Mytilus edulis: one gene and its partners. The protein of the gene in region 1 purifies or fractionates together with the protein of each later gene. This does not show direct contact. Links are inferred from orthologs where the notes say so. Each region holds a gene or a part of one and is shown on either strand. Other genes may lie near its edges.

The links.
Region 2: the proteins of E3 ubiquitin-protein ligase COP1-like (region 1) and serine/threonine-protein kinase 40-like purify together in Homo sapiens (affinity purification with mass spectrometry; 3 studies listed by BioGRID and IntAct, counting the BioPlex papers as one, with this or other methods). This does not show direct contact. The link is inferred for Mytilus edulis from reciprocal best matches to the Homo sapiens genes COP1 and STK40.
Region 3: the proteins of E3 ubiquitin-protein ligase COP1-like (region 1) and DET1 homolog purify together in Homo sapiens (affinity purification with western blotting; 11 studies listed by BioGRID and IntAct, counting the BioPlex papers as one, with this or other methods). This does not show direct contact. The link is inferred for Mytilus edulis from reciprocal best matches to the Homo sapiens genes COP1 and DET1.
Region 4: the proteins of E3 ubiquitin-protein ligase COP1-like (region 1) and ETS translocation variant 1-like purify together in Homo sapiens (affinity purification with mass spectrometry; 4 studies listed by BioGRID and IntAct, counting the BioPlex papers as one, with this or other methods). This does not show direct contact. The link is inferred for Mytilus edulis from reciprocal best matches to the Homo sapiens genes COP1 and ETV1.

What each region holds. Positions count from the first base shown.
Region 1 is NC_092345.1:8,285,238-8,292,224, reverse strand, and holds the start of E3 ubiquitin-protein ligase COP1-like, read left to right. Parts: upstream 1-3,986; 5' UTR 3,987-4,135; coding exon 4,136-4,254; intron 4,255-6,987. Other genes in the region: DNA repair protein XRCC2-like, read right to left, coding at 3,732-3,764. UniProt on the Homo sapiens protein: E3 ubiquitin-protein ligase that mediates ubiquitination and subsequent proteasomal degradation of target proteins.
Region 2 is NC_092353.1:43,069,614-43,077,607, reverse strand, and holds the start of serine/threonine-protein kinase 40-like, read right to left. Parts: upstream 3,004-7,994; 5' UTR 2,920-3,003; intron 1-2,919. UniProt on the Homo sapiens protein: May be a negative regulator of NF-kappa-B and p53-mediated gene transcription.
Region 3 is NC_092347.1:48,045,404-48,053,120, forward strand, and holds the start of DET1 homolog, read right to left. Parts: upstream 3,026-7,717; 5' UTR 2,905-3,025; exon of another isoform or gene 2,889-2,904; intron 1-2,888. UniProt on the Homo sapiens protein: Component of the E3 ubiquitin ligase DCX DET1-COP1 complex, which is required for ubiquitination and subsequent degradation of target proteins. The complex is involved in JUN ubiquitination and degradation.
Region 4 is NC_092345.1:6,349,682-6,356,982, reverse strand, and holds the start of ETS translocation variant 1-like, read left to right. Parts: upstream 1-4,291; 5' UTR 4,292-4,378; intron 4,379-7,301. UniProt on the Homo sapiens protein: Transcriptional activator that binds to DNA sequences containing the consensus pentanucleotide 5'-CGGA[AT]-3'. Required for olfactory dopaminergic neuron differentiation; may directly activate expression of tyrosine hydroxylase (TH).

The DNA of each region.
Region 1 (6,987 bases):
AAATATAAGTATGATGTATACAAGCTGAAGCCCCGCCTATCTTAATTGCCATGCTTGAGCAAACATTGATACAAACAAAGCAAGCAAGCCAAACAAAGATTTGTCTTGCTAGCATTAATGTAAAAGCTGTAAATATATTTTATCTGGGAACAGCTAGTATATATATATTTATATGTTCCTTCCTGATTTTATTTCAAACAATAAAATCTATAAATGAATTGAACATAGTTTAAAATGGTTTTACAGTTACTGAATTAAGAGATAACTGTATTGTATTTGAAGCTTTAAGGACGTCCATCGGTAGTTTTACTGTCGCAAATTTAGTTTACCTGGTCCCTACACTAGGTGACGTCATAGGTATGCTTCCGGCGTCAAACATAAACACCGGGCGTCTTCTGGCTTCTGTGCCGCTTCAGAATGTAATAAAATTTGATAAAAAGAAGATTTTTAGGCGCAACAAGTGAGTTTTTTGTTTATTATTGTAGAAATAACATGTCAATACATTCCGAAATTCAAAATGTCGGCTTCCTTAGTTACAGACAAGGAGATAGAGAATTTTACGCTTGCTGTTATCCAATCAGAACAATTGTTGCAAAATAATTGCATTAGAATAATTAATGACACGTTTCAAACGAATGTAGGACAGAAAGTCACAGGACAAAAAGTCACAGACAAAAAGTCACAGGACAAAAAGTCACAATTCATTTTTTCTGATTATTTTCTTTGAATAAAAAACCCTTATTTCTACAAAAATATTTTTGTATTTTTCTTGAACTATTGTATATAAACCAACTTTGTAAACAAAATTTATCAAAAAAATATTTAAGATGATCAAATAATTATTAAAAAAACATAGTGTCAAAGTTGCTTTGCACTTAAATGGCTTCATGGTGCCAAGAAATATATCTTTTGCATGATTAAAATTAAATAAATCTTCATTTTTCAAGTATAATGACACATTTCCTCAACTTTAGTATGAATATATGTATTAAAAAGTAAATATTTCAAGATATTCTCTTATACAGTTGGAAAGCAGGTCACGGTTTGACCCCAAGTTTATCAGCAACAATAGAGTCACGTGACCGTGAAAATTCAGTAAAAAAACGGTTGAGACAAACCTCATTTTAACTCACTAAATACTATTGTCGTAATAAAAACTTATTGACCTAACTAATCTTGAGTATCCATAGTTTATTCTCGTCAAAGCTCACACATCAAATCAAAGTCCTTTATTCTTTATTTTATCTGCAAACTTGGAGTTTGGGTGAAAATTGTCAAGTCTCCTGAACGAAAAATCTAAATATTTACGAGGAAACTAAAAATGATGGGCTGAATTTAAATTTAATAAAGCATCTCATTAAGACAAACACTCGATATGAATATCTCGGCAATAGAATGTTGGATACGCAAACGTCAAATTGATTTCAAACCGAAGCGGTGGTTTTTATGCCGATTTGTGCAAGTGGTTATCTCCCCTTAATATCACCAGTCAAAAATAAAAACCCATCAAAATGCATAAAAAATAAAAAAAAAAGTTTACTTTACAAAAATTAGAAAGAAAATAAACTAAACTCGATTTATAACTATGTTATGATAATATAAAGAAGAGATACTTCCCCCTATTTTTCAGAGAAGGACTAATTAAATGTAAAATTTATATTAAATTTATATTAAAAGGCAAAATATTACTGCAGTAAAAAAAATAACAATTCAGAAATGTGGATAATGACACCTACATGTAAAATTAAAAACCTAGCTATACTGAAAGAAATTAGATCTGGCGGATGAAAATATATACTTCATGATGCAGAATTTTTTGATTATATTTAATGCAATAAAACATAGTTTATACAATTTCAATAATCTTTGTGAAAATTGATATAATTATCAAATAAATAGTATTGATCATATATATTTTATATTCTATAAAGTGTGACCAAGAGTCTCAACAAATTTCTTCAAATTAAGAGAGCCTTTAAACTCAAGCCTATGTTTCTTAGTTGAACAATAAAATACAAAAAAGGGATTTATAAGTTTCATACCAAAAATATTGACAGAAGTTCTGTAAAAAAAATATATGCTTTAAATTATACAGTAAGTGAAAGTGACACAATTTTGAATTTCAGAATCATTATTATTGTAAAATTAAACTATTAGATTAGCTTGCACAGTAGCCCTTTGTCTTATTTCTCAGGGTATTTTATAGATTATGAAAGTAAACTTTTTGGAAAAAATGGGGCTTCTTCTCTTGAACAGGTTGCTGTATCAGCTTCTTTAAATAATTACATATTTATAAACAAAGTATTGTATATATACTTTACCTGAATACTAGTAATAGGAAATGAAATGAAACTGGTGGGACAGATTTTGTGCATTTTACTTCAATAATGATCAAAGATGCTTAAATTTGACAAGAATTTGCCATTTGAATAAATTCAATTTTGTAACAACACATCTCTATGAATAAACTTCTTGTTTGGCTGACTTGGCTTGATAAGCTAGTTTTTGCTCTTATTACTATAAAATTGAGAATGGAAATATAGCTTACTAAGTAAAGAGATAATAATATAAGCAAGATTTTATTAACTGACCTTCATTTTCTTTTTTCATATGTTTTTTTCCCACAAAATTTTCTTTGCAATGCATTTTCTATTGCTATTTTTGTGCTTTTGTCCATCCATAGAGTAGGCTATCAATAATTTGTCAGATCTGTCAGAATTTTCCAAGACGTTTAGCTTTAAACGCAATAAAGAAGATCTTTGTTTGTTGTTTCACTTTTCCAATGTGTAAATTTTTACTATGCACATGACCCTGACACATATTTTGTTATAAACGTTATGTGACGTATGTTGAAAAAAGAAAACAATGTCACCGTCAATTTATGTAGGGGATCAAAAGGGGTTTTAGTTACTTTAAAATACAAGTATCGTATGGAATTGTGAAAATCCACAACTTTTAATCAAAATTTCATTCATGTCTTTAATAAAATCAGTATTTTAGAGCACTTTGAAACAGGTACAATGAAAAGAAGCTAAACTTTACTGTTTTGAAGTAGAAACGTAGCTAAAACCAGATAAAAATTGACATGGCTGGTGGTCACTAAAATTGATGTATAAAAGTAAAAAATGATGGCTTCAAAACAGTGTATAAATTTGAAATAGGTTTCCCGGTTTCATTTAAGATTATAACCGTTCTTTTCTGTATTTGGATATGCAAACGTCAAATTAGGAAAAATCATTTTTTTTTGGCGAACAAAAAGATGGCTAATTTTTTTTAGAACTGACAGGATAAAGGAATAGCAATAACAAGCTATTTTTTGTAATGTTTGTATGTCGTAAAGAAATTATATTGGTCACAAAACCTACAAATTTTAAAATTTAATTGTAATAAAAGCATGACAAGTTGCAAAAAATACTTTAAACGTCAATCTTTTAGCCGATTGATTTGGCGGACTTTTTGACGTTACGGACGACTGTAGCGCCACCTAATTAATTCCCCCTGCTATTGTTGCTGATAGAGCTTGACGACAACGGCCGTATCGAAGGACTTGCTTTCCAACTGATATAGGCCTATTTAAACAATTGTCAACAAATTATTTGTGACTTTTTGTCCTGTGACTTTTTGTCCTATCAAATTTGTGACTTTATGTCCTGTGACTTTTTGTCCTGTGACTTTCTGTCCGTTTACCGTTTCAAACATGCACTGTGAAACACAATTAAACTTATTAAGACCTGTGCTCCAGTTTCCACTTTTGACAGATTCATATTTCCCACATGTCGCTACAATCAATAACAAAAAGTGTTAACTGCAGTGTTTCTGTATTCGCTTTGATGATACTTTAATAGAATATCTTATTCAAAATATTTAAAAGTAATGATTATTGACAAAAAATATCCGTTCAGTGCTGCTTTTCGTAATATTTTTTGGGGATGTAAGGACTTCGGAATTTGGGATTCACCGACATGCGCACAAAATCAAAACAGTCTGTTAATTTCCGTTTGATGTTCCTTTGATGTTTTTGGCGATACACATTTTGTACTATGCTTGTCCAATGTTTAATGCAAAGATTAGGAAACAAAAATGAATGCAGCATTTGATTTTATATTTTGGCATGTGACATTTTGATTCCTCAATAATGGCTGGAAGAACTCAGCAGCAAGCTGATCGTACAAGACGAAAAAGAAGTCGAACTCTGCCACCCGTGTATACCGGAATAAGTGGGTCATTTGAGGACAAAGACAATGATTTTGTTTGGTAAGACAGTGATCGCATTTATTATTTGCTCTGCATTGTTTCTTTATCGACAGCTTATTTTTTTCGCCGCGTGTTCAAAAGTTATAATGTACAGCGGAGAAATTATGGATTTGTCGTCTGCACTCCCACGCATTTTCAAATAGAAATCACCAATGCAGCAATTTGACTTTATGCAATGTATCATCTTTTTTGAATCTATCTGTCATGTTGAAATTTTAAATACAACTGGCAATACAATACAAAAATGATAGCCTGACATGTTATGAATTCCAAAATTTTGCAAATCACTTAAAAGTGGACTGCTGATCTTTGGAACAGTTAACATGTTTTAACATTACACCATGTACAACATGTACAATGACATCTTTAATTTCCAATTTTGAGTCCCTGTTGGACATATAGTAAAATAATATTAAAGAATGGAACAAAGGCAAAAAGATAATATATATATTATAAACCAAAAATATATATTTTTAATCATTAACAATATTGTTAAACCAGGCATGCGCCGGAAAGTAATCATCAACCAGTTGATGTTTTTCTGTATATAAAGAAGAAGTATATAAAATGAAAAAGTAGCAATACTGTATATATCAAAGGAATTGAAAGTCATCTGATGCCACCAAATTGAATGTCACAAAATTTGCATATTGAAGCTTCAATATTCCAGTATCATTAAGTGATTACAGGAAATATTATTTTTTTCCAATGCATTATTTGGATTGTAATGTTTTTCTTTTAAGTCTTATTTCTTGTGTTGTACTAACACCTTACATGCCTTAAGCATGATATAAAGAATGATAAGCAAAAGGCTTTCCAGGCATTCAGTAACAAAACTTATAGTAATTGTTGCCCTTTACTAACATTTTGTATGACAAGAATAGTTTTTAGATAATACACTTGTAAATACTTATTTTCTTTGTGAAAGGTTGGCTCACAACAATATGTTCAGTCAAATAAATCTTATCATGTTGAAGCATTTAAAATCTTCATCACAAAACAACTAAATTCAAACATAATGGAGGAGAGGTTAGGGCCTGTATGCACATCAAAGGCATGGCAGGATTATCAGGTTGTTGACTGGTCATTATCTTATATTGTTATCAGTGGCGGATGCAGAAATTTTCATAAGTGGGGCCCACTGACTGCCTAAGTGGGGGTCCGCTTCGGTCAAGCTTCAGTGATTTCCTTTATAATCAACCAATTTTTTTCCAGAAAAGGAGGGCCTGGGCAAGGGATTATTGTACCTGTGAAAGGGGAAAAATAAGTCTAAGTTGTTTCCTTGCAATAATTGAAAACAGTTTGATAAATGCTTTTTAAACTACTAGTACTGGTACATGTACATTGTATCTTTGATAGGATGACGGTCAAGGGTATCAGGTCCGTTCGCGCCCAATATAGTTTCGCACCCCACACGTTCGCACCTCACATTTTCGCCCCCCACGTCCGTTCGCACCCTACATGTTCGCGCCCAATTTTTAATAAAATTTAAGTGAAATTGTTCGAAATTATTCATATGAATATAATTTGAGAATTTATTGAATAATTTTTTTTTTTTATCGATCTGATGATTAATTATTAAATGTTGATTATGTATGATTATTGCTAATTGGTATTTATAAACAGCCCAATTTGGTGTTATTGTTTACTGTTGTTTATAAAAAATCATGATTGTTGTTTTAAATTGCTTTGATGTAAATACTAATAAAATAAATATTAATCATAGCAATACACTTACCATGCATACCAGTTGTTCAACATGTTGTCAGATTCGCACTTAATTGACTAGAAACAGTGAAAAACAAATTATTTCAATACACTAACCAAAACACGATTAAGTATTATTCAATACACAAATGAAATAGTTGTTGCCAGAATAACATAATCAGACTTAAAAACAAGGACTTTTTTTTTATAAACTTGTCATGACACAAAAAAACTTGTCAGTATCTCGAATTATTTAGAAACAATGGCATATATATTTATACCAATACACTTCCAAAAAATCGGTAAAATTGGGTGCGAACGTGTGGGGTGCGAACGAACTTTTCGCAAAATTTGGGTGCGAACATGTGGGGTGCGAAAGTGAATGGGGGCGAATGTGGAAGGGTGCGAACGTGATTGGGCGCGAACAGACCCGGATTCAGGGTCAAGTTTGATATTTATGATTTTCTCTTGTGCTGTACGTACTGAAGTAATTATATACATGTATATGGTCCTTAATTCAATGATTGTTTGTCAATAACTTGAGAATGGTTCAACCAATGCTTACCAAAATTTAAAATGTTTTTTATTAATACACAATGTTTGATACTTGGTTGGTCGTTGATTGGTTGGGAAATGTCACTTTTTGTTTAATTTTATGCAATAAATTGCGAATGTTTGATCCATCATCTTTGTCAAATTTCAATATAGTGTTTCTTTTATTAACATAATGGAGATCAGGATTTATTTTGAAATTTTTTACTATTCAGTATTGCAGTTTATGATCAGGAGTTATTGCTCCTTATAACCATTCTAAATTTCAATATGTTATTTCTTTTAACAGAATTCAGATTCAAATTTATTTAGAAATTTTTCACTATTCAATATTGCAGTTCATGATCATGAGTTATTTCTCCTTCATTGTGTCCTTATAGCCATGTTAACCATTTAATTTTAATGCAGTTAAAAAATGGAAAAATGTAAGAAAAACCCTGTTTGCTGTTATTTGTATCAAACTGGTGAAAATAA
Region 2 (7,994 bases), on another chromosome or scaffold:
ACAAAAGCAAAAACTGTACTGTTCATTCGTAGATTTCCGCAAAGCGTTTGACAAGCTGGACCGAAGAATACTTATGTATAAACTCCTTAAAAGTGGAATTAGCTCCAAATTTGTTACTATTGTGAAATCTGTCTATTCTTCTGTTAAAATGCGTGTTAGATCAGGTGGTATTTTATCCGATTCGTTCGATAATTTAATGGGGGTAAAACAAGGGGAGCCCTTGTCGCCTCTTTTGTTTTTATTCTTCATCAATGACTTGATTGAGGACATTCATATTGATATGCGGGATGATGTCGTTACTGTAAATAATATTCTTATATATCTTATTCTTTTTGCGGATGACACTGTTTTGTTTGGAAAATCACCAGAATTATTGCAAGAACTTTTAGATAAATTATTGAAATACTGTCATAAGTGGAACATTGAAGTTAATACTGAAAAAACAAAAGTTATAGTATTTAGAAATGGATGGCAACCAGTAAGTGCCAGATTCTTCTACGACAACAAAGAGTTAGAAATAGTAAATTCCTGTATATATCTTGGCATGATGCTTTATTTTAATGGAAAATTCGTACAGACTCAGAAACGTGTGTCCCAACAGGGATCACGAGCTTTATCGTCATTGTTAAACTCAGTGAAAGATTTGTACTTGTCAAAGAAGAAACAACTCGATCTATTTGACAGTATGGTGGCATCTGTTCTTAATTATGCTTCGGAAATATGGGGTTTCAATCGAGGTAAAGATGTTGAGATTATTCACAATCGTTTCTGTCGATATATTTTAAATGTTGGCAAATCTGTCCCAAATTGTTTTTTATATGGAGAATTGGGCCATTTTCCTATGTATATTATGAGAAAATTTAGAATTTTGAAATATTGGTTGAATATGTTAACTAACAAAACACCTATTGTTTATGATGTTTATAAATTGTTACTTGATGATGCCAATAATGGCAAAAAAAACTGGGCTTCTAATGTACGTGACTTACTATTTGATAGTGGTCTCAATTATATATGGTATCAACAATCAGAAATACATACTATTGGATTTTTTGATGTAATTAAGAATAGAATTAAAGATCAGTATATACAAAGCTGGTTATCAAATGTAGAAAAGAGCGAAAAACTTAGTATTTATAAGGATATAAAGTTAGAATTTAGGTTTGAACATTATTTAGATTTTTGTTATAATTCACACTTTTTAACTAAATTGCGAAGTGGTACATTCAAACTGAACATTGAAACAGGAAGATATACTGGCATGGCTAGAGAATTACGTTTATGTAAATGTTGTAATATGCAGTGTGTTGAAAACGAATATCACTTTTTATTAGTATGCCCTGCCTATAGATCAATTAGGCCTATATATTTGCCAAAATTCTATTGTTCTTGGCCAAACCTTACTAAATTACAGTATCTATTTAAATTAAAGTCTGTTTTACATATTAAAAGATTGTGTAACTACATTAAATCTGCTTGGTCAATCAGATCACATATTGTTACTTAATGTTATTTGCTTTCTTGTAATGATTTATATGTATTGATCTCTGCTGTTTATCATTTGTCATGTTGTAAATATGTTTTTCGTTGCTATAGCATATATATGCTTTTTGCAATAAAGTATTCATTCATTCATTCATAACTAGATACATTTTACATGTACATTCATTTATTTATTACTACAAAAAATTATTTTGAAGACTAATTCCAGCATACAAATGTATGTGTAATCAAATGTGATTGAGAATAAAAGGATGAATAAATAAGCATTCTGTGAGTATACATGTACACCTTATCACTATTTAATCCAATCTGGGAAAAGCAGTCATTTATACAACTTCCTCAATAAAGGTCATGATCATCAGTAGTGATCTAAGGGAGATAAAACTTTAGAAAGCGATCATTAAGAATTTTTGATAGAGTATGATCCACTTTTTTGAAATTAAAATTAAAGTAAAAAAATATTTTTGTTTGAAGTATTTACGGTAGTTTAAACAGGTCTCATTAAAAAGAAGCATGCATGGTGAATTGTTTAAACAGCGTCCCAGATAGCTTCAACTGGATGAAAAAGTTGTGTTATTTTAGAACTTATCTGGAATGGAATAAATAGTGATTAGGTTTATTGCATGGCAATACATGGTCCCCTACCAGTTAATAAATCATTTTATCATATATTAAGTACAAAATACAGCAATTTTGTATATCTAATAAAGGTTCTTTTTTTAAGTCTGTATCACCTACACTGTATCGCATACCCTGTATCACATAGCAAAACCTGTATCGCTTACCCTGTAACACATAGCAAAACCCGTATAGCATACCTGGCGTGACGTCATAAATCGAATGACGTCAACATTTGATCTATAACGTCCAGTTGCTGTTCCCGCTAAAACATGTCCCATTATTTCAACTAGTTTGATATAAATTAGTCATGTTGTTACCATAAACTAATTTGAAAAAACCTTAAATGTAAATTCCTTATAATGCTGGCTACGGCTCTTAGTGTTGTTTCTGGTGTTTCTTATTCTGCATTGACAATATAGTTAAAAAGTACAATATATCTAGTCAATAGGTGAACTGTTAAACTAGATAGAACCAGATAAAACAAATATTAAGTAAGGTAGTTTGTCCAATAGCCAGTGGTGAGAAAATATTAAAGAGCCCAAATAGAGTATTTTGGATTCATTGAACCATATAAAATTATGTTCAATATAGTAACATCATTATAGATCATTATAGTATAGGGTAAAAAAATTATAGATATAAACTAAGTACAAAGTTGGGAATAATATCAAATAGATAATATGTATATAAATGAACTTGTCCACAATAGCATGATCATTTCCTTAATTCTTTATCTTCCCGTATCTTTTAAAGTGTGAACATGAAGACATCAACCTATAATAGCTAGTAAATTACTTGTATTTTGTGTTGCAATATCATGCTGTCAAATGCAACTAGCCGGAAGTGATATTTTCGTCAATGTCTTCTAGACGTTTTTAAAAATTGTCCAGATATACCTAAATACAACCACGCGATCCCGTGTGAATATATAAATAAAAAAAAAATAGTTTAATGTCTCTTTGATATCTTTCGCCTTCCTTTGACATTAAATTCAAATAATGTTCGTCACAGAGCAAAAGAAGGAAAAATCATTTACGGTACCCATTGCTGAGCTCATATATACGTCTCTGATAATAGTAAACTTGGAATTGATAGTAAATAGCAAATACGTACACGCTATGAGTATAGCTATTTGCGGTGTATCTATGTTTTAAAATACAGAATAATGCGAAATATTGAAATTAATAGAAAACGAAAAAATAACAGATTTTTTACAAAAAAAAAGAGGGAGGGCAATTTTTTTTGTCCTTTCCCTAAGGACCTATATGGTCCAGTGCACAATTGAGAAGTTATTGAGTTTGGTGCTGAAGCTGTTAATGAAGATTTCTTGATCACAGAAGACCTTGCTGAAAATATACAAGAACTTGATTGTCTCCTTATTTTGTTTTGATCAATCAACATTGGTCTTAAAACGAAGTACTGTGACTCAAATCAGCATGGAGATCTGTCAGCAAACTGTTCAATTGGAAAAACTGGAGAATACAATGTACTTTTGCAAAATGTGTGGGAAGGATGCGACAGGTCAGTTAATTTGCAGCTCATGTCTAGAATGGTAACACTTGTTGAACGGCGATCAAAACTTAGAAACACACTCAAGTCAAAGAATTGGTTTTGTTAAAAATGTGAATGTTTGACTTAGTTTTATGCAAAATTTGAAGTTAAATTTTGAATTGTGGTTCATTGCATTTTGAATTGTGGTACATAACATTTTGAATTGTGGTTCATAACATTTTGAATTGTGGTACATTACATTTTCAATTTGAATAATTGCATTTTTGATTATGGTACATTACATTACATTTCGGTAAATAGATACGGGTTATGTTCTTCTCATATATGTTATGATGGTATGATACTAAACCCCTAACAGGAAGGATTGTGCCTGATGGGCATATGAGGAAATCATAATCTTTCAGTAAGTGTAATTGAAGTCTGGAGCTGGCATGTCAGTTAACTGCTAGTAGTCTGTTGTTATTTATGTATTATTGTCATTTTGTTTATTTTCTTTGGTTACATCTTCTGACATCAGACTCGAACTTCTCTTGAACTGAATTTTAATGTGCGTATTGTTATGCGTTTACTTTTCTACATTGGCTAGAGGTATAGGGGGAGGGTTGAGATCTCACAAACATGTTTAACCCCGCCGCATTTTTGCGCCTGTCCCAAGTCAGGAGCCTCTGGCCTTTGTTAGTCTTGTATTATTTTAATTTTAGTTTCTTGTGTACAATTTGGAAATTAGTATGGCGTTCATTATCACTGAACTAGTATATATTTGTTTAGGGGCCAGCTGAAGAACGCCTCCGGGTGCGGGAATTTCTCGCTACATTGAAGACCTATTGGTGACCTTCTGCTGTTGTGTTTTTTTTCTATGGTCGGGTTGTTGTCTCTTTGACACATTCCCCATTTCCATTCTCAATTTTACATTTTAAATTATGGTACATTACATTTTGAATAGATACATAACAAATGAATTTTAGTACATAACATGTTTAATAATTACATTTTGAATTGTTGAACTTTACATTTTGAATTGTTGAACATTACATTTTGAATTGTTGAACATTACATTTTGAATTGTTGAACATTACATTTTGAATTGTTGGACATTAGATTTTGAATTGTCGAACATTATATTTTGAATTGTTGAATTGTTGTACATTACATTTCTAGTTGTAATAAGTAAATTTAAAATTGTTGTACAATGTGCATTACTTTTTTGATAATTACATTTTGAAGGGTTGTGCATTGTACATGAGTAGATTATAGATGTAAAGTATGGCAATAGATACATAACAAATGAATTTTAGTACATAACATGTTTAATAATCACATTTTGAATTGTTGAACATTACATTTTGAATTGTTGAACATTACATTTTGAATTGTTGGACATTAGATTTTGAATTGTCGAACATTACATTTTGAATTGTTGAACATTACATTTTGAATTGTTGAATTGTTGTACATTACATTTCTAGTTGTCATAATTAAATTTAAAATTGTTGTACAATGTGCATTACTTTTTTGATAATTACATTTTGAAGGGTTGTGCATTGTACATGAGTAGATTATAGATGTAAAGTATGGCAATCTGAATTTCCGATTAAACAAAATAAGATCAACTCAAACATTTTGTGTTCAGTGCCTTTTGCAAAAAGCAATTCAGATTTTTTGATACTCAATCATCAAAATAATAACTGATCTTATTTCAGAAAGAAGCAACCCACACTTTATTTTTAAAAACTAGGACATATATATTGTTATACGTCTTTGTTAACACCAATTTTGATTAAAACAAAATGTTCTCTAAAACTGACACCATCAAAGTTCTTGATTTTTTATTGAATAATTTGTGCTACCTTTGAACAGAGACATATACTATGTAACATCGTATCATAAAAAGTAAAATCACAAAAATACTGAACTCCGAGGAAAATTCTAAAAGGAAAGTTCTAGTCAAATGGAAAAATCAAAAGCTCACACACATCAAATCAATGAATAACAACTGTCATATTCCTGACTTGGTACAGGCATTGTCCTTTGTAGAAAATGGTGGATTGAATTTGGTTTTTTTTTAGCTAGCGAAACCCCTCACTTGTATTGACAACGATGCTTGAACAAAACAAACAGACACAAAAGGTAAAAATGTAAACAAAAATGGTGAGCAGCAGTCAACATTGTGTTATCATCTTAATCACTATAAAACAAATAAAGTAATACAGGAGCTTAAAAGGGAGAACTAAACGAAAATAATGAAAAGAAGCTAGCGTGCCGCTATATAGACGATGTTTTTTCTCTGAAGAATTTGACATTTAGTGTTTGTACTTTTGGACGCATATATCAGTCCACCAATCTTTATAGAGAAATGATGATCATCACTAAAGGATATTAACAAAGATACAGAAAATCTCTTTCTTGACTTCAACATATACATAAATGACACGCCAGAAGGTATTCGCTCAAGTGTTAGTTAGACTCTTTGCAGATGATACCATAGTTTACCTGACCATTGCATCAGACGCAGACAGTGTGAACCTACAAGAGGACACAGGGCCGTAACTAACCTCTTTTAATAGTGAGGCAAAATATATTCGCCATGCCAAGAAATTGCCTCCGTTGAAATTTTGCAAACATCACATAGAGCAAATTACATGGATGATTATTATTAACCATTTGGTATATGGCCGTGTTCTAAGCGACATGTACATGCAGGTCATAAATTAATTTGTTGAATGAAATCCAATCTTTAACTACTAATAGGTGCCGCAGGAGGTCAACCGGAAATTTTAGCGAGGATTTCTTGGCATGTAACAGATAGAAAACTCAGGGTAAGAATTTATAGAGCAGACAAGGGGCAGTGGCAAATATTTCATGTATATTATGAACACAGAGAAGATTACTCTTTTCGGGCGTGGACTCCAAGCAGACAACATGCATGTTTTATAACGCAACTGTATATTTTCTTATTAAATGAAGAAAGTTGCCGGTCCAGTTCAAGGATAGATCGGTTAGAAAGCAAGGTTTTAATTTTAATTAGATTGGAAAGCTTAATGTGAGAGTTAAAATCGGAGAGGACGAAAAAAGGGGGGGGCGGGTTCTTTCACAGGGAATATTTTTATCTTAGGAACTCTACATTAGAATTTTTTTTTTAATTATTTATTTAAAAAAAAGAAAGGGAAAAACAATTGTAAGGCAAATTGTGAAGGTTCTTTCTTCCTTTCTCCCGTGGGGCTATCTCGCATATATCTGGTTTACCGTCAAACCGAGCGCATGCATGTCTTTTGGTTGTTTCTGTCACTAGGTGGCTGTATCATTGACGTTTATCCCATATTTTCATATTGAAGCACAATGCACACGTAAATATTGTTTTAGAACATGAATTTAAAGTTTCATGTCATGCATACTAAAGTAAAGAAAAGCAAAAAAGCAACTCAAAGAACTAAATAGAAAAAGACGAAATGATCTGATTTTCTGTACCTCAATTTTATTTAACTGAAACAAAAAAAAATGTCTTCACTGGGAACTCTCGAGCTGAAACCTACACTCTTCAGGTTAGCAGGGACAATACTCTGTCTTTACTTTTGTCATTTTTGCGCATTGGATCTTTAAAGACCCTGTCAGTGGTTCAAAGTATTGCTTATCAAAGACATGTCTACTGAGTTAACGAATGCTGCATTCGAATAGGGACAGCTCTATTCATTCTCAAAAATTTTGCAATCTTTTGACATAGAAAACACCCTTTTCTATTTAAAATAGATATTCTACATTATAAGGTGTCGACTTTAAGTTAGTAATGGAACTTGAATAACTTTGAAAAGTTTAATTTGAGATAAAACTTAAACAAAAGGTTGCCACATATGTAATATGATGGACACACCAACCTTTAATGACAGTACCCTTTTATGTTCCCTTATCCTTGGAAATCTTAAAAATCTTCAATATCTTCTTATTAATTATTGGTTTCCCCTTAAACATCTGACATTAATTTTAAACAGTTCTGCTTTAAAATTCATTATTTAAAATTATTAAAGGTTACGCTTTTTCATGTCCAGCGGCACATATTACAGTGTTATCCGGATTCATCGTTATACGATGCGGGAAAAATTGCTATTGTCAAGTTCAATTTCAAATAAATAGATTCGTGTTTCAACAAAACTATGATCTGATGTACAATGATTGGTGTATTCATTGTTGGTCTTTAATGACACTTTTATCATTATCTGCTATTTCATGGCGCCCAGCTGTTTTGAGTGTAGAAAGCTGAGACGCCCGGAGAGAACCACTGACTTTCGGCAGGGAAACTGTCAATCCTAGTCACTTAAGATTGGAGTCGAACCAAGCTACCACGTGTAGGGTTCGAACTCTGAAAT
Region 3 (7,717 bases), on another chromosome or scaffold:
ATGATGCGGCTGAGAATCAGCAACAGCCATTGGTTTAAATGAGATAAAGAATTACAGACTTTTCTCATTCAGGATAAGTCATTTAAAGCCTGAAAACTAACTAAGAGTATATCAGTTCCGATCATCTGTCATTAATTCATGTTCATTTTACTATGCATATACATGTATTGCACACTGAAATTCAATATTGAAATAACAATTATCAATACATGTTTATTTGCTTTGTCAATCTGCAATATGCACGATTTGTTTTGGTAAACAATGTTCCTATACAACGTTTTCAAAAAAGCATAATCTGTATTTTATAACTTCTCCTAATCTAGACACCCCTCCAGAGAGGCACACTCATAACGCACACTCTTAAAGTAAATCTAATTTATATCAATCAACTATCTAAAAATACCACATGCACACAAATTACATAAAATTAGGATAGAGCGAAGCAGTCCACAGCTTTTAAGAAAGCTAAAACTTGTATATTAGTACTTTTGTGGGTATTTCCTGTCAGGCAAGTTGCACTCATTGAAATGCTGCTAAATATAACAAAGACTTAGGTTAAAGGATATTTTTTATTTATACTAGATAACAGCAAAAATGTGTAACCCATTGTATGCAGAATAATCTTCTCAAATTATGACAAATGTGTTAATCTGTATACCTAAAACAGATGTTTTAAAGATCCTATTCCATTTGAAGTTTTAGTTTACACCAAAAAAACAGTGGTAAAATCATGCTACTCTTCTTTACTTTCTTTTTTATGACCTGAACAATTACGCTTTTATCTATCATGCCTATATGAAGTTTGAGTTTACATGGTTACTCTGTGAATTATATATTATGCATACATGTATAGCTAGTTCATTCTAAAATCCCTATATTGGTCTTGTATGATTAACAACATGAACAAAATATGTTCATGAAACAAAACTGTATGTTTTTCATGATTTGTTTTGCATAAAAGACTGAATTTATTTGTATATAGTTATTCAGAGAGTATCAGAGGAGATAATTTAACATCCAACATTTTAAGACTTTATGTTCGCTTCAGAATGTAATAAAATATGACAAAAAGAAAATTGTCAGGTGAAATGTGTGAGTATTTAATTTATTATTGAAGAAGTCACATAGATGTATGTTGCCATGGATGAAATGTTTATCTTCTTAACCTTTGAAAGTCATCAGTGACCCAACGAATCGCCAATAGACTAGGAAATGCTGTACAAGTATTATATCATCTTGTGATACTTGACAAGCCAATCAAACTAAAGCAGATTTTCGTTTGACTTTTTAACGTAAAATTTACTCTCTGGGCCAGAATTGAAAAATATATTGGTTTGCCCAAACCATATCCAAAGGTACACACAGTGGGCTAGGTAGGTAGGCATTTTTCTTTTTTTATTTTAAGGCAAAGAGAAATTGAAGTGTTAGATGTTTTTTAGTCTTAATGTCTATCTGATTAAAAAATAATCACAGCAGGACAATAAAAGATTTTGAGTAGGCAGCTATTTTCTGGGTAGGTAAGGTTAGGGCAAGTAAAAATATTCTTTTTTATACCCTGTACACTGCAGTGACTGAGTGTGATACAAGAATTATCTTTTAATGCAAGAAATAGATCTATACATGTATAAACAGACCACAACTATAAGAAAAAATATTATCAGGGAGCTACCTTTTGATTTTTTAGGGGGAGGAGTCTAGGATGAAATTTGAAGAAAAAAAAATAGACAGGACAGGAGTTTTAAGTTCAATTAAAAGTTTAACATAAAAGACATGATGACAATTCATAATTTATAAATGTAAAAAATAGTCAGGACCCAATAGAGTGAAAAATAAAAATGCAGGACCAAGTTACACTTAAATAAAAAAAAAACAGGACAATATTTTTTTTGACTCCGGGTCTGTTCGCGCCCATTCAAGTTCACCCCCTTTCACGTTCTCACCCAATTGTTATTGGTTTTGTGTTTAACAACATTGTAATCAAGTTTTGACAACATTGTTAAACACAAAGTGTATTCCTGTAAGTATATTTGTTGTCATTGTCTCAAAATAAAGTTCATGAGTGACGAGACGATGTTTTTTTCTGTGTTGAATAAATCTTAATCATGCCAGTTTTGGTTAGTGTATTGCTATAACTTTATTTCATTGTTTCAAAATGATTATGAAGTGAGATTCTGACAACCTTTTTTGTTGTGTTGAATAAATTTTAATTATGTTTTGGTTAGTGTATTACTATAACTTTATTTCGTTGCTTCAAAATGAAGTGAGATTCTGACAACTTTTGTTGTTGTGTTGAATAAATTTTAATTATGTTTTGGTTAGTGTATTGCTATAACTTTTGTTTCATTGCTTCAGATCAAAGGATCCAAGCTGTTAAAACAATTATCTTTTGTCTTTTTCATTTAAAAATGTCCAATGTTTTACTTATACCAAGTTATGTCATGTATGTACTTACATCAAAGCAATTTAAAACAGCAATCAAAATTTTCTAATTATTCAACTGGAATTTGATTTAAAATCGGGTGCAAACGTGTAGGGTGCGAACTTGCAAGGTTCGAATGTGTAGGGTGCGGAAGTGTATTGGGCGCAAACGAACCTGATGCCATTTTTTTATCCTACCCTCCCCCCTCCTAAATAAAAATCAAGACCAATGGTGGCTCCATTATTATTTTTTAATTATTATAATTACAAATTCTTAGAGAATACATGGAAGGGTGCTCTTCTGTTTCCTGTTCAATCAAAATAAAGGATTTATTTTGTCATGTTGTTTTATATTTACAGCAAAAATAATTTATGCCATCATGAAATTTTGTTTTTGATATAACTGATCAATGCTTGAATGCTTGTACAAATATGTCATTATAGAATAATCCTTAACTCGTCAGTCTTACATAAAATAAAACCTACACATAAGAAGGGTGCAAAAGATAATAAAACAGCATAGGAATGTCTTCTTTTTGTCAGTTTTGAATAAAAATGCAAGTCTGCTCTGTTGCATATTTTTTTAGAAAGAAAACTCAAGAGGTGTTCCGAAATATTTCTTTACCATATTCTGTCATATATATTTTTTTTAATTTTATGACATATAATACATTTTTTTCTAGTTTTATTTAAGTTAATATTATGTGTTTGTAACTAGAATTAAATATGGTATTTTTTATAAATATTGGAATGAATGAGGTAACGCCATAATTCGCCCTTCGGATATTTCTAGGCTTTTTACATAACTCTATGTAAACTTCCGAGACGATTCGGGTAAATTCTTCAGTCCCACGCTATCGCCATTTTTCCAAGAATCGATCTTTGCTGCAAAGAACACCGCACTAGCTCAAATTAAACAACCATCGATACTGAGGTATGGTATAGTCCTATATTTAAATATAACGTCAGATATTTTGCATTAGAAAATTCAGTATACTGCAAAATAAAGATGATCTTCCTTATAATACATAGTTGACCGATCGCGAGAAGGGCATAATTTGAGGAAACGAAAGTTGAATACATTAATTTTGTACAATTGTCTTACTGATGATGTTACGCTGTCTGGGAGGTCATATATGTAGCACAGGAACAGGATTGGTCATAAAACGGTGCCCTGAGGGACATCAGAGTCAATTGTTTTTTCGTCTGATGATTCGCCTTCCTCGATGGTTCGCATTTTAATCTGGCAGGAAGTTCATAAACCATAATTTTGTGTGTGTTTCCTTTGAAATTGATTCCATATTGATCTAACCTATGGAATAATTTGTTGTGTGGTACTGTATCAAAAGCTTTTGAGAAATCCTAATGGATGCCTACGTCGATTTGATGTCCCTTGTCGTGTACGTACTTGTAGGAAGTCGTTGATGGTAGTTCAGAGTTGGGTTTCACATGAGCATCCTGTCTTTCTGACCTGAAGTTATGGTTCAAGTTGGTTAGGATCTTGTTTTATTCCAGATAATCGCTATTTGTCCGCCATTACTGGATATCACACAAGTTCCAGTAAAATGTTGACGTCATAAAACAAAATATCTGACGCCACAATGGAAAAGTGATTGTTGTTTGCATCAAAAGTTCAAGCGGCCAGGTCAGCCAGGATTAGTGATGAGGTGTATTAGGTTAAGACAGATCTGAGTAGATCATATATATGATTGTCACCTGTTTTGAATATGTCTTTGGAACCAACTACCAGATAAAGTTGTGCATGCAGGTTCTGTAGGGGCATTTAAGACCGCTCTACAAGAACTCCACCCATAATGAAGTCTTCTCCACTGTGTATAAAAGCCTAAATAGGATTCTACACCCCATTTGCCCGATGATTCGGGTAACCTAAATGACTAAAATATAACACCGCTATAATTCGAATAACATTTGTAATAACCGTATAACACTTATATATAAGAACATATCGGTGACTTATAAAAAACAGATTATTTAACAATAATTTAACAGTAAGCAGGTTAGTTCATAAAGATGTTTTTAAATATAGTGTGTACATGCATCCAACATGGCAGCCATTGTGTTTGCCTTGGTCACTATTATTGGATGTACACACTAAATTTATAATGATCTTTATGAACGTACCTGCTTTCTACATATCATTTTAAGTTATAAAATACACTGATAATATAATATTATTACATAATCAATGTTTAAAAGTCACCAATAGGTATGTGCTTATATAAAATTTCAAGTGTTATTCTGTCATTTGAGGTACCGCCACCATTGACAGGAAAACCTTGTCTGACCCACTAAACATGTACAAGCCCCTGTAAATGTAACTGCAAAAGTAACATCAAAACACATTCATTGCAGACAACTGTATTTTGTATAGAGCAGTTAAAAATCATCCAGAATATTGTATCCTACAAAATGACAGGCTGCAAATTGGAACAAACTTGAGATATGCAATACTCAGAATAATGTAACTCCCTAACTGTAACACTAACAATACAGTCACCATGCAAACACTGAACTTAAAGGCCAGTGTGTGTCATGATACTTCAATCACTTTTTCATTGTGGCATCAGTTATTTTTATACGACTGCAAAAAGAAATTGCGGTCATATATTGATATCATTTTGTGGTTGTCTGAAGACAGTTGGGTTTCTGGACAATAAGTATTAGTAAATAGAAATCCACGAAATTTATACACAATGTTCATTACCGCAAAGGAAGGTTGGGATGATTTTCGGGGTATGATCTAAACAGTTTAGGAATTGGGGGCCAAAAAAGGGACCCAAATAAGCATTTTAGTAGTTTCCAGACAATTCCCATGTAACTTGTGTTAAAGTGTATGGATCTTTGTGCAATTATACCACAAGTATCCAAACCACAAAGGGATGGGTAGGATTGATAATAATATTGGGAGGTTATGGCATAAACTATTTAGGAATTGGGGGCAAAAAAGGGGGAAAACAAGGGTGTGATGATTAATGGACTAATGATCACTATTGACAATTTTAAAGCAGTTTAAGGGAGGTAATCCAATCTCATTAAAGCACTATGCTGTGTATTTTTTAGATTACCTCCCTGATATTGCTTGTAGATTGTGAAAATTGTCTATTTGTAACAGCATATTAAATGAATTACTCAAAAGCAAAAATAATAATATTAATTCAAATGTAGTTCTTTGACTACAGTCATTCTGTGTTAAAACCTACATTTTGTATTATGTGTAAAATATTTAATTACAATCCAAATTTAGACCTGTATCAAGTGCTTATATTGTGGTAATTTTTGCCCCAACTGTTCAGGGTTGGACCTCATCCATGGAATCCAGCTGCGCTCAGCGAAGCAATTTATCTATTGTGTAATTAAAAAAAATTAGGAACTTTTGTAATTCCAGTGCAGTGTATTAATTTTGGTTGCCCCATTCTTAAATTGTTGTGGAATACAATATTTTATGTGTCATGACCAGCAGCACTATTTCATATTAAAATATTGGTCAGAATTCTGGTACACTGAAATGATATTTTTATGTTATTAAAGAAAGATTACCAGCTTTATTTTGTGTCCAAGCCCTAGTATTCACATGTAACAGGTAATCATTATAATAAGATTTTTTTTCAGTAAAAAAGAACCATGATTATCATGTTAGTGAGTTTCCAAGTTCATATATTTTCTGCTTGCCAAAGTCTGGGGGAAATTAATCATTCAATTAAATCAGTTGGTTTACAGTATTTTCATCTTGCATACAAAACAATATCCATTTTCCTTGATTAAAACATGTATGTATATTAGGGTTTATGGGATGAGTCCATAGCTCTATCAAGGTTATGATACATTTTTGTACGTATACCTAGTCTAGAAGTCATCATTAAAATTCACAGGTCAAACAAGGTCAAAAGAAGAGGAATCTCTGCAGGAGATGAAAAGATTTGATCCACATGCACATTATTGATTTTTAATAAAAAGTTCCATATCTGATGTTTTATGTTATTTTGTTATGCTCTCAATAAAAGATAATAAACAAATTTTGTTCTGTTTGTTGTACATGTGTACAGACATTTCCTTTATCTGAGATACAAAAATAGACTGATCGCAAATTAAACTGTTTTTGATGACGGGCATTAATTGAAACTGCACATTCAGGATTTGACAGGATCACTAGTCCTGTCACTCCAGGCTGAAAAAAAACCCAGAAGGACTTGTAAACATTGCCTACCACAGATTACAACAGAAGTCCTATACACTCATAAAATTTCTATTTCTAAAAAATAACATACATGTAGAAATCTATGAAAATTAAACACAAGGTTTATGACCACAAAAGTAAGGTTGGGATTGATTTTGGGAGTTGTGGTCCTAACTGTTTAGGAAAAAAGGGGCCCAAATAAGCTTTTTCCTAGTTTCCAGACAATAACTTGTGGAGCAGTGTATGAATTCTCTAAAATTACACCGCATGTACAAGTTTCCATACCACACAGGGATGGTTAGGATTGTCTAAGGGGGGGAAACAAAAGTTTCCTGGGTAATGGACAATTAAAAAAAAGTACAAATTATGTGCAGTGACCGCGCTGTGCATTGCCAATGTTGTAATATGCGATGTTTTTTTTCATCTTGTGACGAAATACAGCTGCAGGCGAAATTTCTGGCGCCAACATTTTCCTATGTAAAATATTTCCTTTCAGACTTTGTCTACGACCCCAAGCAAATCAACTTGTTAGTTATTGATGGATCTTTCTGAAATTGTACCACACGGTTGCATATTACAAAGGGAAGGCTGTGATTGAGTTTTGGGGGTAATTGTCCGTATAGTTCAGGAAATTGGGACCAAAAAGGGGCAAAAACCAAGCAACTTTTCTAGTTTCCAGACTATAATTTGTGTTTATGTGCATGGATCTCTCTAAAAAAAATTGAGGACCAGGGGTTCATATTTTTTCCCCAAATATTTCAAATTTTTGAAAAGTTTCAACAAGAAAGAAGATTTGTAAGATCATTGACCACATTTTTTTGGTGTCAGAAACCTATATTATGTAAAAACAAAATTTCAATACAAATTCAAACAGTATCCAGCTTGAATATTGTGTTCAAACTTGCACCAACTGTTTAGGGTTCAACCACTGCGGTCCTATCATTTCATTTAAACAAATTTTAAAGGGGTGGAGGTGAAAAAAATGTGGGGCGAGGACTATTTTTATTTTTTTTTTCATTTCAGATAATTTAAAAAAAAAAATACTGTTTTATCTTGAGAGATGTGTAAGTACCCTGCCACATCTGTATATTTTAAGCACCCTAC
Region 4 (7,301 bases), about 1.9 Mb from region 1:
TGGGAGTCTTAGAACTTCATGTCCTTTCTTTTTCAAAAATTCATCAACCTTGTATACAGGGTCAATTTTTTTGGATTTAATAATTTCATATATCTTGGGTTTGGTTTTTTTCATGTCAAATTCAACACCAAGTTTATTTAAAAAGTCAATCATGTCACCTTTTCTGGAATTAGATGTGGGAGGTTTTGTACCCTCGACACGCACACTATGATATGACGCATTGTCCATTACTATTAGACTTTGTTTTGGCAAAGCTGGAACTAATTGTTTTTCTATCCATTGTTCAAAAATTTTGCTGTTCATCTCCGTATGGTAATCTCGTCCGTCCGTACTGATACCCTTAAAAACTAAATCACATCCCTTTAAAAAACCCTTTTCACACCCAGCATGCAAAACAACGAATCTTTGACCTTTACCTAGGGGTATTTTTCTGTTTTTTGCATCTTCTGAACTAGTCCATTGATGGGAAGTTGTATGGTTGGTATCAACCCAAGTTTCATCCAAATAAATAACAGTATAACCTTCTTCACGCTTTTTCCTAATTGTCCTAAGATATTGTATGCGTTGGTTAACACTGTCCTTTCTTTCAACTAAACCTTTTCTGTTTTTATCCACTCTCTTATATCTAAAGCCTTACTCATGCAGAGTTTTCCATAACTTGTATTTTGATAAACTAATTTCATGATTTTTTTCCAAAAGTTGTTTTAATTTTTTTAATGTCACACATTGATTTTTCCTAAATAAATTATGCACAGTAGTTTTTATCAGATCTTTGTCAAACTGATCAATTTTGTCCTTTTTAGTTGACACACTTTTTGACTTCAAGATTTCTTCTGAACCAAGCATTTTTTTTATAAAGCTTTCACTAACTTTCAAACAGTGGGCAGTTCTTTTTGTGGTATTATGCCATGCATGAAATGGAGCTCCCCGCTTTGACTCGGCAAGAAAATAGTTGAACACTTTCAGAATTATATCCTTTTTTTCTTTAGAAATTTTTGGAGGCATGTTAATTCCTTTCTTTTATATTCATAAGTAAGGGAGAAAATGCATAATTTAAAAACAATATTAAAAAAGGCCTCTTTAAATAATAAAGGTATTTTGGGTTATATGTTATCTAATTTTATTTTCATTTTTGAAAGTCATAATTTAGCTGGTTTTTTTTTCAAGAAAAAGGTAAATATCAGATATATTCTGTAAATAATTATTAGTAAAACTTTTTAGAGCCTCTCCATTTTGTTACTACTGTCACCATGCTTAAAGCATGAAAAGCTTGCTTAATTTCTTTCAGAAGGTATAAATTTATAATCAAATTAAGGTTACAATAAAAGTTTAGAAAGGAAAAAAAATACAACATATGTTTATAACATTTTTTCCACTAATAACATCTTTGTAGATAAATGTAAGTTCATTTATAAAATCATAAAAAAAACTTAGATGATGGTCATTTTTCATAACATGTATAGTGCCTTTAATATTCAAATGAGTAAAGTCACATGGTACAATGAAACAGGTTTAAAGCACATGTCTTATGTTTTTGTTTTGAATGGAAGGCTGTTACACTACTCATACTTACTCCATTGAGTATTTAATATTAAAAACAATAGAAGTAACATAGAGACCTAATGAGTAACTTTTTTGATTTTTGGTTCAAAATTATGTTATTCATAGTCAGAGTTCGTATATATCATACATTAACATACATGAAGAAAAAAAATATTTATTTGTAAAAATGAACTTTTAAGATTCATTTTCTGAAGATTTATAGAAATCAAACGGACTATATCAAACTAACATCAACTCTATTGTACACATTTAATTTTCTTGTTAACTTTGAAACTAAAATCACGAAAAGAAAACAATTTTATTCGTACAAATTCCACTGTTTAAAAGTTTCAATGTAGTTATGGCTAATAAATGATTGTGTTGATGTCGAGTGCCAATGCGACTTCAGGGCGGATTAATGAAAAACTTGGGGCACCCGACAGCAAAACTAATCGTACATCAAAAGACATGATTGAAGTTTTTGTCGAGTTTAAATTCAGTTGTATATACAAACTTACAACATCACTGAAGTTACAGATAAAATTAAATGGTATTGAAATTAGCAGACGATCATTTACAAAGTAACTTTTACTTGTCTTCGTCAATGTTACGTGTGCTTAAATGAAAGTCAAATAATGACATAAGTATCAGTGCATGATGATCGTAAATTTAAAAAAATACACTCCAAATTAGAGACTTTACATGATCGGAGTGATGTTAATGTTTATTGTCAAGAATAGAATTTTTAATATATTTTTTAATGAAAGCTAAAAGTAAACTCATAAATTCATCATAGATACCAGGACTAAATTTTATATTGTTTATATATACGCCAGACGCGCGTTTCGTCTACAAAAGACTTATCAGTGACGCTTGAATCCAAAAACGTAAAAAAGCCAAATAAAGTACGAAGTTGAAGAGCATTGAGATCCAAAATTCCTAAAAGTGTTGCCAAATACGACTAAGGTAATATATACCTGAGGAAGAAAAGCCTTAGTATTTCAAAAAATTCAAAATTTTGTAAACAGTTAATTTATAAATATAACAATATCAATGATAATTGATGTCAGCACAACTGGGCTTGTGATACCCTCGGGGAAATAAATCTCCGCCAGCAGTGGCTTGAACGAATATTGATCAGCCTCGTGATATTATACCTATCTTAGCAAAGTTAATCCATTCTTTAAATGCACATTTTTTTTTTATAAATAATCAACATTTCGTAGTATTTTATAGTATGATTTGATATTTTTGTCTTGTGAAGCTCATGATTTGAAGAAAGACATAACCATGGCTTAAAAATAAAAAAACGATGAAAATACATATAACAGTCTACATAACACTCAATAAAAAAACTGAAGTCTTGTTATTACCCAACCTAAATACGGGTGATCTCACGTGCTCCGTTAGAGTAATCAGATCCTGCTTCATATTTGCTACCCATCGTATTGCCCAGTTAAAATCTTTAAGAACGTAAAACTTGAAACTTAAATCTTCAATCAAACTGAGTTGTTGTAAAATGGTATATTAATATTTATAATAAAAAGATTTAGAAATATGTAGATGATTTTCCTATTTTTTTAAATATCTTATAATTCAATTTTAAATTGTGTTGTTTTTATTGCAGCCTCAATGAATTAAGGCGTAAAATATAATTCTGACTCGTGGCAGTTTGAGTAACACTCCTCCATGGTTTTGGCAAGATTTATTTGATGCAACACACGTTCATTAAGAACATTATTATTCATATGCTTAAAAATTATACTTTTTTACATTTTTTTTCTTATTCTCTTATCAGATAATATTGTCTGTATTCATAGTAAAACGTATGATTAAAAGTAGTTTTCTGGAAGAAACCCTGTCATCTTACCTTTAAATGGTTAAGACAAATCTGTCAAACTTCTAAATATTACTATATTATCCCACTTGTCACGCTTCATTTTGTTGTTTATTGATTATCATTACAGAAAATGATGATTGTATTTGCAACTGTTGTCCGATAAAATTGAATGCATTCTCATATTGACAATAGACAATGCAAAATGTGTGCATTAATTGTGAGGTTTTAATACCTTTTTATTTATTCTCTTTTCTTTGTAGAAAAAAATATGTTTAAAAAGGTAATACGAATTTAAAACAGAGTAAAAAGACAATTGTCTGTTAGTATTATAATTCATATAATTCGGCAAAAAAGGCGTAAAACGCATTTAAAAAGGGAGGAATAGTTAAAATTTTACATTTTATTTATCTATTCAGATATTTTGAAACGTGACAATTACACTCTAATAATGTTAAAAAATAAAGTTAAATAAATATAAAAACGAACAAAATCAAAATGACAGGCTATTCTGTTTAAGTAAAATAAAAACAAAAGCTTCGATTCAACTGAAAAAGAGAAATGCAGTTATAATGGGACACTGCTTCACAGTAATGGTATGAAGAGATTTGATAACATTTGATAACATTTGCAAAATATCAGAAGTTATTTATACGTTTTAAAATTAAGATCAAAATTCAAGAAACTGCTACCTTGCTTCAACTGAAGCATGTAGATCATATCTGTTCTAAACCGTAATGTTTAATTAGTGATTTAAGCATATTTTTCTTCAATACCAGATTTTCTTGCCAGAGATTTGTCGTCTGGATCTTCCCCACGTGCATAGATGTAAACAGCCAATCAAAAAGAAGCTCTTCTAAGATGGAGATGTAAGGCCCTTGTTTTTCAAAGTTTGAATCAGTTATTGATAAGTTGACGTATTTCATTACTAGAAGATTATACTGCAGATATCCTGAGGATTATTAATCGGACACAATTACCTAATAAACAGATTCTAAGGTAAGAAACATTTTCAGAAATTATCTTATTGATATAATAATTAGAATAATGATTTTTTTCTTTATTCTCAATGTATAATTTTTATCATTATTATAATTATTATTATCTTTTTTATTATTATTATTATAATTATTGTCATTATTATTATAACTACTATTTTTTTTACTTTTTATAACAGCTTGATGGTTACTACTTGTTTATTTCACATTAGTAAATTAGTAAATTTCACACGTAAAATATCTTTTTTACTTTTTTTTAATGTATATTTGAGGTAAATCTTTTATTTTATTTTAAATAAATCTGTATTTTTAATTCTGATTTTCTAAACATTAGAAATACATATTTTATGTTGCCACAATTGTTTATGTGACTGGTATATATTGTACAGGTAATTAATGATAAAAAACAAAATTATAAGTGTATTCAGAAGATGAAATAGTAGAGTATTACATGGTTCTATTTTAAAATAATCAAAAATGTGTGAAATAAACTGAAACATATCCTTCAATGTGAATTTACTGATTGCTAGTACCTTGCTGAGTAGGATATAATTCAATGTCATTAACATTCATCACAATCATTATGAAAATAGGATTTCATTATTCTTCACATCTATGATCTTTCCTATTTATAAAATTTCTCCGGCAATATTTAACTATACACAAAATCATTTTCCATTATAGAATGTTCAATATAACTCAAAATAAATATTCAAATTAAATATTCAGTAAATGTTAAGAATAATTGTAAAATATGTTTTTAATGTTATAAACTGTTTTCTAGCTGAAATAATATTTATAATTAAAAGAAAGGGAAAATGAAAACAGTAAACTTATTAATGAATCGGCATACTTTGTGAAAGTGACATTGTGTACAAATATTTAATAGTTAAAAAAAACCAGATACATTCTTAAGTTGTGAATACACCATATCAATTTGTTAATTATCCATCAATTGTTAAAGTAAAGGTATGATGCTGATTTTTATGCACATAACACGTGTTTGTTGGAATAATTTTCACCAGGTTCGCGCAAGACCATTATGTTTTAAGTTTCTAAATATCTCATTCAACGAAGAAGATTGTAATCTGGTTTCTTCTGTTTCACATTGTGTCCTTCATTTCTTTCCCTGTTTTAGATTCATTTATTTTATGTGTTATGCATATGAACAAAAACCTTTTCTACCGTTTTAAGTTATAAAAAGAATATACTAATGCATTGAACGGTTTCTTGCTTATTCTGTCAAAAGTGATTTAGGAAAGGCAATAACATTTTGAACATAAACGAACATGTCCATGAGAACAATAACTGCAACATATTTTTACAAATCAAAATCGTCAACTTCAACTTGACACTTTATCTTAACATACTCAAGGTAAACTATGATTGTGTGCGTGTATCGGTAGTATATCCTTGACTTTCAAATGTTTGGGGGTAAGCATTGCTAATGAAAATATTATTTTCATTGTACATATTTCGCGGTATGCCGAAAACCATGTCTTGACAATTGAATGTGTTTGCATAGTTAAAATGTTAAACCATCGAATTGCCATTTGTCTTATTAGTTGTTAGGTGTTTGTTTTTCATTTTTCATTTTTTTTTTCATCTTTATTTTTTGGTTTTTATTTTATCTTAATTTTACCTAAATATATATCTAAAATCATGATTGATTAAAGTGCATTCAGCAGATGAAATAAAATTCATTAATATCATAACCACCAAACAATCTGAGGTAAGGTGCTTCTTCTACTTCAGTGTGATATTATATTAATTTTGACACCACACAAAATAATGAAAATGGGACATTACATTGGTTTACTAGATATCCTGCTTATTTGTGATTTGATACAACCGAATAAACATCATAAAACAATCGTGGTTTACATACGAAAATCCTTAATCCTTAACAAACCAGTTTAGACATAAAAAAAACCCAAACTGCGATAAAACCATCGTAGATTAAAAAACATTCACCCGAGGTATAATACACCAAACGGTTTCATCACAAAGTATAATCATTTATCTCTAGAGTGGTAGGATTCAAGTCTGATCCAGGAACAAATGACTCCAAACAATGGGACAAACATTAACTGGAGGAAGAAAAAATATCGCTTCAAATAAAACAAGCAATGAGAGGCATCGTTCGGGAGGAAAAAATCGTATCTGCAGAAAAGTCAGAAACATAAAATCCAACTTAAACAGACTGTTTGTCATAAATGAAATCATCATTTTAAGAACCAATACAGAAGTCAAGCATTCCATTTAGAAAAACAAGCATGAAAACAAAATATGACGATAACAAGCGAAACAAGTCTCTATTTTTGGAGTACTAATCTCAGGGTAAACTTGTGATTTAAACATCCGTGAGCTTTACTCTTGGCAAGTTTTTATTCGGTATTTTATTTGGATAAGACATATTGAGAAAACGATAAATAAAAAAGTCCTTAATGAAATCGCAAAATCAAAAGCTCAAACACATCAAACGAATGGATAGCAACTGTCATATTCCTGACTTGGTATAGACATTTTCTTATGTAGAATATGGTGGATTGAACCGGGTTCATAGTTTTTAAAAAGACGGTTTTTTTTTGTTAAGTTTGTGTGTATTTTCCTTCAAAAAGAGTTTGTTTAAAGTATTTTCTCCACGATTTTCTTTGTTTACAAATAATACTGATATTATTGTTGTAGACATTATTCACTAAATTACAAACCAAATGATACTGATATTATTGGTAAAGACATTATTCACCAGAAACAAAATGATATGTTATTATCCCAACTAGAAGGAAGACCAATTTTCCTGGATTTATTTCACTTAATAAACCGACTGTGAATATGCTGTGAATTTGCCAATGAACGCTCAATTTAGGGTATTGGAAGTCAATTATTACAACACCAAAATACTCCCAAACCTATTCATTACT